2 linked regions of the Arabidopsis thaliana genome follow. The protein of the gene in region 2 interacts with the protein of the main gene of each other region in a biochemical or structural test. Each region holds a gene or a part of one and is shown on either strand. Other genes may lie near its edges.

What was found.
Region 1: of the proteins of CRK3 (region 2) and TUB7, one has a biochemical effect on the other in vitro, tested with the Arabidopsis thaliana proteins (one study listed by BioGRID).

Annotation. Positions count from the first base shown.
Region 1 is NC_003071.7:12,644,157-12,648,083, forward strand, and holds the start of TUB7 (tubulin beta-7 chain), read right to left. Parts: upstream 1,902-3,927; 5' UTR 1,777-1,901; coding exon 1,383-1,776; intron 1,198-1,382; coding exon 928-1,197; intron 788-927; coding exon 102-787; 3' UTR 1-101. Other genes in the region: ENOC (cytosolic enolase), read left to right, coding at 2,479-2,583, 2,670-2,824, 2,910-3,084, 3,167-3,238, 3,320-3,436, 3,559-3,639, 3,740-3,816. UniProt on the Arabidopsis thaliana protein: Tubulin is the major constituent of microtubules, a cylinder consisting of laterally associated linear protofilaments composed of alpha- and beta-tubulin heterodimers.
Region 2 is NC_003071.7:19,184,618-19,188,544, reverse strand, and holds the start of CRK3 (CDPK-related kinase 3), read left to right. Parts: upstream 1-1,732; 5' UTR 1,733-2,114; coding exon 2,115-2,657; exon of another isoform or gene 2,658-2,934; intron 2,935-3,447; coding exon 3,448-3,578; intron 3,579-3,765; coding exon 3,766-3,807; intron 3,808-3,910; coding exon 3,911-3,927. UniProt on the Arabidopsis thaliana protein: May play a role in signal transduction pathways that involve calcium as a second messenger. Serine/threonine kinase that phosphorylates histone H3 an GLN1-1.

The sequences.
Region 1 (3,927 bases), 6.5 Mb from region 2:
ATAACGCAAGCGATAGTTACAGAAACTATAAGAACTTAATAGAAGAGAGTTTTAAAAGTAAACAGCAACTGGAAGTTGAGGTGTTCTTATCATCTGTTTCTTCAATAAGTTTCTTCTTGCTCGTACTCAGCTTCTTCCTCTTCATATTCTCCTTCTTCATCAGCCGTTGCATCTTGATACTGCTGATACTCAGAGACAAGATCGTTCATGTTGCTTTCAGCTTCAGTGAACTCCATCTCATCCATACCTTCACCTGTGTACCAATGCAAGAAAGCCTTTCTCCTGAACATAGCAGTGAATTGCTCACTGACACGCCTGAACATCTCTTGGATCGAAGTTGAGTTACCAATGAACGTTGAAGCCATCTTCAGACCAGTAGGGGGAATGTCACAGACGGTTGATTTGACGTTGTTAGGGATCCATTCCACAAAGTAGGAGGAGTTCTTGTTCTGTACGTTCAGCATCTGTTCATCGACCTCCTTGGTGCTCATCTTTCCACGGAACATGGCTGAAGCAGTGAGGTAGCGACCGTGTCTTGGGTCAGCAGCACACATCATGTTCTTAGCATCCCACATTTGCTGAGTGAGCTCTGGGACAGTGAGGTTACGGTACTGCTGAGATCCACGAGAGGTGAGAGGAGCAAATCCCACCATGAAGAAGTGGAGACGAGGGAATGGGATCAGATTCACAGCTAGCTTTCGCAGATCAGAGTTCAGTTGACCAGGGAACCTAAGACAGCAGGTTACACCAGACATGGTTGCAGAGATCAAGTGGTTCAGATCACCAACTGCACAATTCAGAAAACAAACAAAAAAATATGTGAGTGAAGTTTCAATACTAATCAATAACTAAGCCTGAAACAATAAACCACAGAGACAGATACAGTAACAACATTGACTCATAATCGAAGAACATTGGAATACTTACAACTTGGAGTGCTAAGCTTGAGTGTACGGAAGCAAATGTCATACAAAGCTTCGTTGTCAAGAACCATACACTCATCAGCGTTCTCAACAAGCTGGTGCACAGATAGTGTTGCGTTGTAAGGCTCCACAACAGTGTCAGACACCTTAGGCGATGGGAACACAGAGAAAGTCATCATCATACGGTCTGGGTACTCCTCCCTGATCTTAGATATCAACAAAGTTCCCATTCCAGAACCAGTTCCTCCTCCCAAGGAATGGCACACCTGAAATCCTGTAAATCCAAACAACCAAAACCATAAGCAAACAACGAATACAAAACCGAATCCGTATTCCACAGTTCAAAATCAGAAATCTAAACCTAAAAACAATCATACACTACCAATACCCAACCTAAATTTACAGATCCAAAAACCTAAATAGACAAAAACCTAAATAAGGAAGACGGATTTCAAATACCTTGAAGGCAGTCACAGTTCTCAGCCTCTTTGCGAACAACATCAAGGACCGAATCAATAAGCTCAGCACCTTCAGTGTAGTGACCTTTAGCCCAGTTATTCCCAGCACCGGACTGACCGAAGACGAAGTTATCCGGTCGAAAGATCTGACCGTACGGACCAGATCTGACACTGTCCATGGTTCCAGGCTCCAAATCCATGAGAACAGCGCGAGGAACGTACCTTCCACAACTCGCCTCGTTGTAGTATACATTAACCCTCTCAAGCTGTAACTCGGAATCTCCTACATACCGTCCCGTCTGATCAATCCCGTGCTCGAGATTAACCACTTCCCAAAACTTGGAACCGATTTGGTTTCCGCATTGACCTCCTTGAATATGAAGAATCTCACGCATCTTCGCTCACAGAGAAGAAAACCCTAAAACTGGATCTAAAAAGAGAGAGAGAGAGAGAGATTTTGAAAAAGGGAAAGGAGAAGCAGAGAGGATCTTTTGTTTTATGAGAGAGAGAAGAAGAGGAGGGTCCATTTATAAAGAAAAGGAGGTTTTAACGGCTAATATTTGGTAATTCGAAATCGAATCGACGGTTTAGATAATGCCACGTAAATCGAGGTGGCAACGGGTGGCAAAATTCAAAAATTAATGGCTCGTGATAAAAAGTTTTTTTGAATTTCGTAAAAAAATATGTTCGTGTGAATGACAGCTGGATTCCATTAAGGAGAGCAGTTACTAAAACATCGTCGCACTCGCACGTGCTTTATGAGAGATAAAAAAGCGGTTCCAACCTGGCAATCGCACGTGAGAGACTTCTTATTGGGCCTAAAATGGGCTTTTACTCTTTTCATTTCAAATCTGCATGACTTAAAACGGAGTGATGTGCACTAGCAAAATCCTCAGACGGCAAGCATGTGTTTGTAAAGTGAAACTCATCGTTTTAATGATTGAATATGCTTATTGGATCCTGAACCGGAGCCTGAACCGGAGCGTGAACCAAAAAATACAGTCAATCGGAAAATGAATTTCAGATTCAAACTTGTTCATCGAAATTTTGCTTGAAGATTCGAATCGAGAAGTCCGTGGAAGAGGAAGAAGAAGAAGATGTCTGTGCAAGAGTATTTAGACAAGCATATGCTTTCTCGGAAAATCGAAGACGCCGTTAATGCCGCCGTAAGGGCTAAAACCTCAGATCCCGTTCTCTTCATCGTAAGTTTCCTTCGAATTTTGATTTACATGTATCGAAGTGAAATTATGTTACATTACTCATTGAATCTTCAATTGGAAAAGTGCAGGCTAATCATCTGAAGAAAGCTGTATCATCTGTGATAACGAAGGTTAAAGCACGACAGATCCTTGACAGCAGAGGAATTCCAACAGTTGAAGTTGATCTGCACACGAACAAAGGCGTTTTTCGTGCTTCTGTTCCCAGTGGTGATTCTTCTGGAACGTGAGAATTATTCTTACTCTGATTGATATACAATTCTCTAATATGATAAGCCTGACATGAGGAGATTGGTTTACTGATTCTCAAGGTATGAAGCTATTGAGCTACGTGATGGAGACAAAGGAATGTATCTTGGAAACAGTGTGGCTAAAGCTGTTAAGAACATAAATGAAAAAATTTCTGAGGCGTTGATTGGTATGGACCCAAAACTTCAGGGTCAGATAGATCAGGCTATGATAGATTTGGATAAAACTGAAAAGAAGGTAGGTGGGAACTTTTATTAGGATTGTAACAAGTTCATATATCATTGCTCCTCATGATTAATTTGATTTGAATATCTTGCAGAGTGAACTTGGTGCTAATGCTATACTTGCTGTGTCAATTGCGGCATGCAAGGCTGGAGCTGCTGAGAAAGAGGTATGAATGATAACATTTTCTCTTATCCTATGTATTTTATGCCTACTTTAGTTAGGAGATTTTGATTGAAGTTATTATCAGGTCCCTTTGTGCAAGCATCTTTCTGATCTTAGTGGCAGAGCAAACATGGTGTTACCTGTACCTGCGTTCACTGTTTTGAGTGGTGGGAAGCATGCTTCGAATACTTTTGCCATTCAGGTATTCTACATTAAGTTCACTATTAACGTTTCTGTTTCTCAAAGTTCTTCAAGAAATCTTTTGGTTTTCAAGTAATTTCATTTACATATGTAATGATTGTTGTGTTTTCATAATTTGTTTAGGAAATTATGATTCTCCCAATTGGAGCAAGTAGATTTGAGGAGGCCCTGCAATGGGGATCTGAGACATATCATCATTTAAAGGTCAATTTTCAAAGATATATGGCTTTCTAGAAGTTACCTTTCTAATTGCATCCGTAAATTTGTGTATAAGGTGAGAATGATCTATTGCTGTTTATGGCAGGCTGTCATTTCAGAAAAGAATGGTGGTTTGGGATGTAATGTTGGTGAAGATGGTGGTCTTGCTCCAGATATCTCGAGGTACATATATTTTTCCTCTCTGATGCTAATCTGCTTGCATCTGTAGATTGTCGAAACTGAGAAAACCATGTTATGGTTTGATGGCTTAGTGCCTAATATGTGTAATTGCAA
Region 2 (3,927 bases):
GCAAAATATTTACCAACATAACTTAAAACAAATTCTAACAATTAGGATGACAACAAATCTACCATTTTTTTCGTGGTTTACCATTTGTTTAATTTACGAAGTAGTTGTGAAAATAAACTTGAAAGGAAATATTGTGTCGTATAAGTTATAACTCATTTTTGAATGGTGAATTTGATAAATATTTTTAGACACATGTTTATTATATTATCAAACTGCTGACAAGAAATATATTAATATGAATGAGCATTGACCATTGGACATAAATCCAAACGAAGAGTTCTTAAAACATACGCTATGATATCAGATGACGGTAATAACAAATTAATACATACGCTAAAATTTACAGAAAATACAAGATTTTTTCACTTTCTCTATTTTTTAACGAAATATTTGTCGACTTCTGAGGTAATCGATGTTAGCCTTGAGTTTTGTAATTTGTATAAAAAATGTACTCCAATCACAATAATTTTGGTGTATAATAAATCCAATTAAACTAAACAAATGCATGTTGTTGGACTTACTTTAAGTCGGTTCAATATTTTGTAAAATACCATAGAATATTGAAGGTGGATTCTATTCCCCATTTACATTTATTTATTTTCCTTCTATTTTCGACATACTTTAAAATTATATTATTACCCATTTGTTCGGCTTTATGGACAATTATTGGTGTAAATGACCATATATTTCCTAATGTCTGCTGATACAAACAAACGGTAACTTCTAAACTTTCAATTTGTTTAATTTATTACATCAAGGTTTATCTTTCAAAATAAATTTAAAGAAAAACTGCTTCTTACCTATTTGATAAGTTGATAGTAATGTTTGTGTTAAATCTCCTCATAGACGTCGCTTTACCTATTAATTACCACTATAATTTAATTTCATAATTGGATTTAGTGTCACCCTAATTTTAGTACGAGAGATCTCTAAAGAAAAAAGTGAAAACACAATCACAGAAAATTATTACAATTTTTAACAAGATTCTAGTATAAAACATATTGATTTCAACGTAAAGAAAATTTAATCACAAAGAAAAAAAACAATAACTTTGTAATATTGTATCTCCGTGTGATTGCTTTACACATGGATTTATTTAATTAATTAACAGATAAAACATATTAATTCCAACTTCTTCTTTCTTTCTTTTTTGGACAAAAATTTCAACTTTTTTTATAATATAACTTTTGTGTCGAAAATATATACTTTTCCTGAAAAAGAGTGATAACTAATTAAAAAAAAAATGTTTAGAAGTACAAAAGAAAAGTATTGTTTCCAAATTCGAGAAAAAGCTGTAATCACGCCCTTGTGTTTAATTCTCAATAAATCACATTTAAAAGCGATTTTTTTAACGGCCCAGATATTGTCACGTAGGATAACGTACTCCGTATATTCTCCATTTCCGAACCATCCGACCAGGTCGCATCATATGTTGTGAAAAAATCGTTATGGAAGAAACTCTGTTTTAGTTAGATCCAATAATATTAAGCCACGTGGAATTGATGAATCCAATCTTCTTTATAAACTCCGTTTTCGGAATTTTGATTTTGTTTAAAATGTCTTACAAATTTATATAAGGAAACGGCAAAAGAGCCCAAAAAGTAACAAAAGACAAAACAATTAAAGGAAAAAAGAAAGAGTCAAAAGAACTCGAACTATCATATAATAAGAAAAGAAAAAGACATAGGACAAAATAAAATATATTCATATTCACAAAACACAAAACAAAATTGTTAATCAAATAGTATAAGACTAAAAATGCCTGATTAGGGGAAGGTAGTTGTTGTTGAATAGTGACTAGAACGAGTTAAATGGTTTGAGATCTCCAAGTTTACATTTCAACATCTCAGATTTTAATCCAACGGTTCTCAATCCTTCTACTACGTAAAAACACCACCGTCCCCGTTCCGTTCCGTTCTGTTCTCTCTGTCACTTTTGTCTCTTCTAAGTTTTTAACACTTACCTTGTCGTCTCTGTTCTTCTTCTTCTCTCATTCCTTTCGTTTATCGTTTTCTTCTTCCAATTTTGGATCTCTCTTCCTTTTGATCTGATTCGTTACTTGCTCTATGTTGCTTCAATTTTGAATTCTTTTGATTTTTGATTGTGTGGGGGAGATGGGGCAATGTTACGGGAAGGTTAATCAGAGTAAGCAAAATGGTGAAGAAGAAGCTAACACGACTACTTATGTTGTTTCCGGCGACGGGAATCAGATTCAGCCTCTAACTCCGGTTAATTACGGTCGAGCTAAGAACACTCCAGCTAGGTCATCGAATCCGAGTCCTTGGCCTAGTCCTTTCCCTCACGGATCAGCGAGCCCTCTTCCTTCTGGTGTTTCTCCTTCTCCGGCCAGAACTTCCACTCCGAGGAGGTTTTTCCGACGGCCTTTCCCGCCGCCTTCTCCAGCCAAACACATTAAGGCTTCTTTGATCAAACGTCTTGGAGTGAAGCCTAAGGAAGGTCCGATCCCTGAGGAGAGAGGAACTGAGCCGGAGCAGTCGCTTGATAAGAGCTTTGGTTATGGCAAGAATTTTGGTGCTAAGTACGAATTGGGGAAAGAAGTGGGTCGAGGGCATTTTGGTCATACTTGTTCTGGCCGTGGTAAGAAGGGAGATATTAAGGATCATCCTATTGCTGTCAAGATCATCTCCAAGGCTAAGGTTTTAAATTCTCAATCTTTTGAACATCTAGTTTTTGATTTTGGGATTGCTTGCATTGGTGTTGAATTTTAGCTTATATTGTGATTTGTTTGTTGCTGATGCTGCTACAAGAATCTGTGGAGGGTTTTGAAATGTGGAACGAGTAATGCTTACATTTTCTCGTAGTTGAGGTAGTGAAAGTAAGATTCTTGGGTTTGGATAATGGCTGTGGGACAGTGAATTGTCTTTTTCTTCCAGCTGAGTCTCTTGAGACAAACAATGTTGTCTCTTTTGATAGGTAAATTTTTTGTTTGGCAGTGAGTTGAGTAGACAAAAATGTGAACTTTTTGTTGATTTGTCAGCATTAGGACAAGGATAGTCATCAAAGAATGAGTTTCATGTACTAATGTTTATGAGCTTTTCTTCTGCAAACATTTGTTTGTTCGAAGCTTGTAATCACAGTTAGGTTACGTTTTGATTACTTAGCTGTTGATTTTGTAAGAATGTTATGGTGTTACATGTGATATTTGTTGTCTGTTTCATCCTTTTTTGAAAAGATGATTCATGAAAAACGTAACTAGAGAAGTCTTTGTCTGGCTGCGTCCTGGGGAGACCATAATCTGACATTCCTTTTGTCTGCATTAGGACACAATGTTTTATGTATGGGCTTCACTTTTGAAAGCTCATGATTTTGGCTTATCTTTGTAATGAAGCTGGTCTGACACATTTTGGTGACAGTTGTGCTATCCTTCTCTCTAATAGAACAAGCAAAAAGGATTTGTTGACTGAATTATCTTTCTGTACTTGGCAGATGACAACAGCAATTGCAATTGAAGATGTTCGCAGGGAGGTGAAGTTACTGAAATCATTATCTGGACACAAATATTTAATCAAATATTATGATGCATGTGAGGACGCCAATAACGTATACATAGTCATGGAGTATGTCTTGTTTCCATTTTTTTTTATCAGATATTTGATGTTCTCTCTTCCTCAGGATTTTGGCTGTTACTTAAATGTTGTAACACAGAACATCACTTCTGAACTGCATTTCTTTGAACATATCTCTGTAATCAGACACACCTTGTAAACCAGTTACTTAAATCGATGTTTGGTTCTGCTTGACCAGGTTGTGTGATGGTGGAGAACTTTTGGACAGAATTTTAGCAAGGTATGTCTGATTACTCTTTTAGGTGTTTCTCTGCATATGCCTCAAGTTAAATGCTGAGAATTTATTCATATCTATGCTCAAACACTGCATTCTCTTGTCTCAGGGGTGGTAAATACCCGG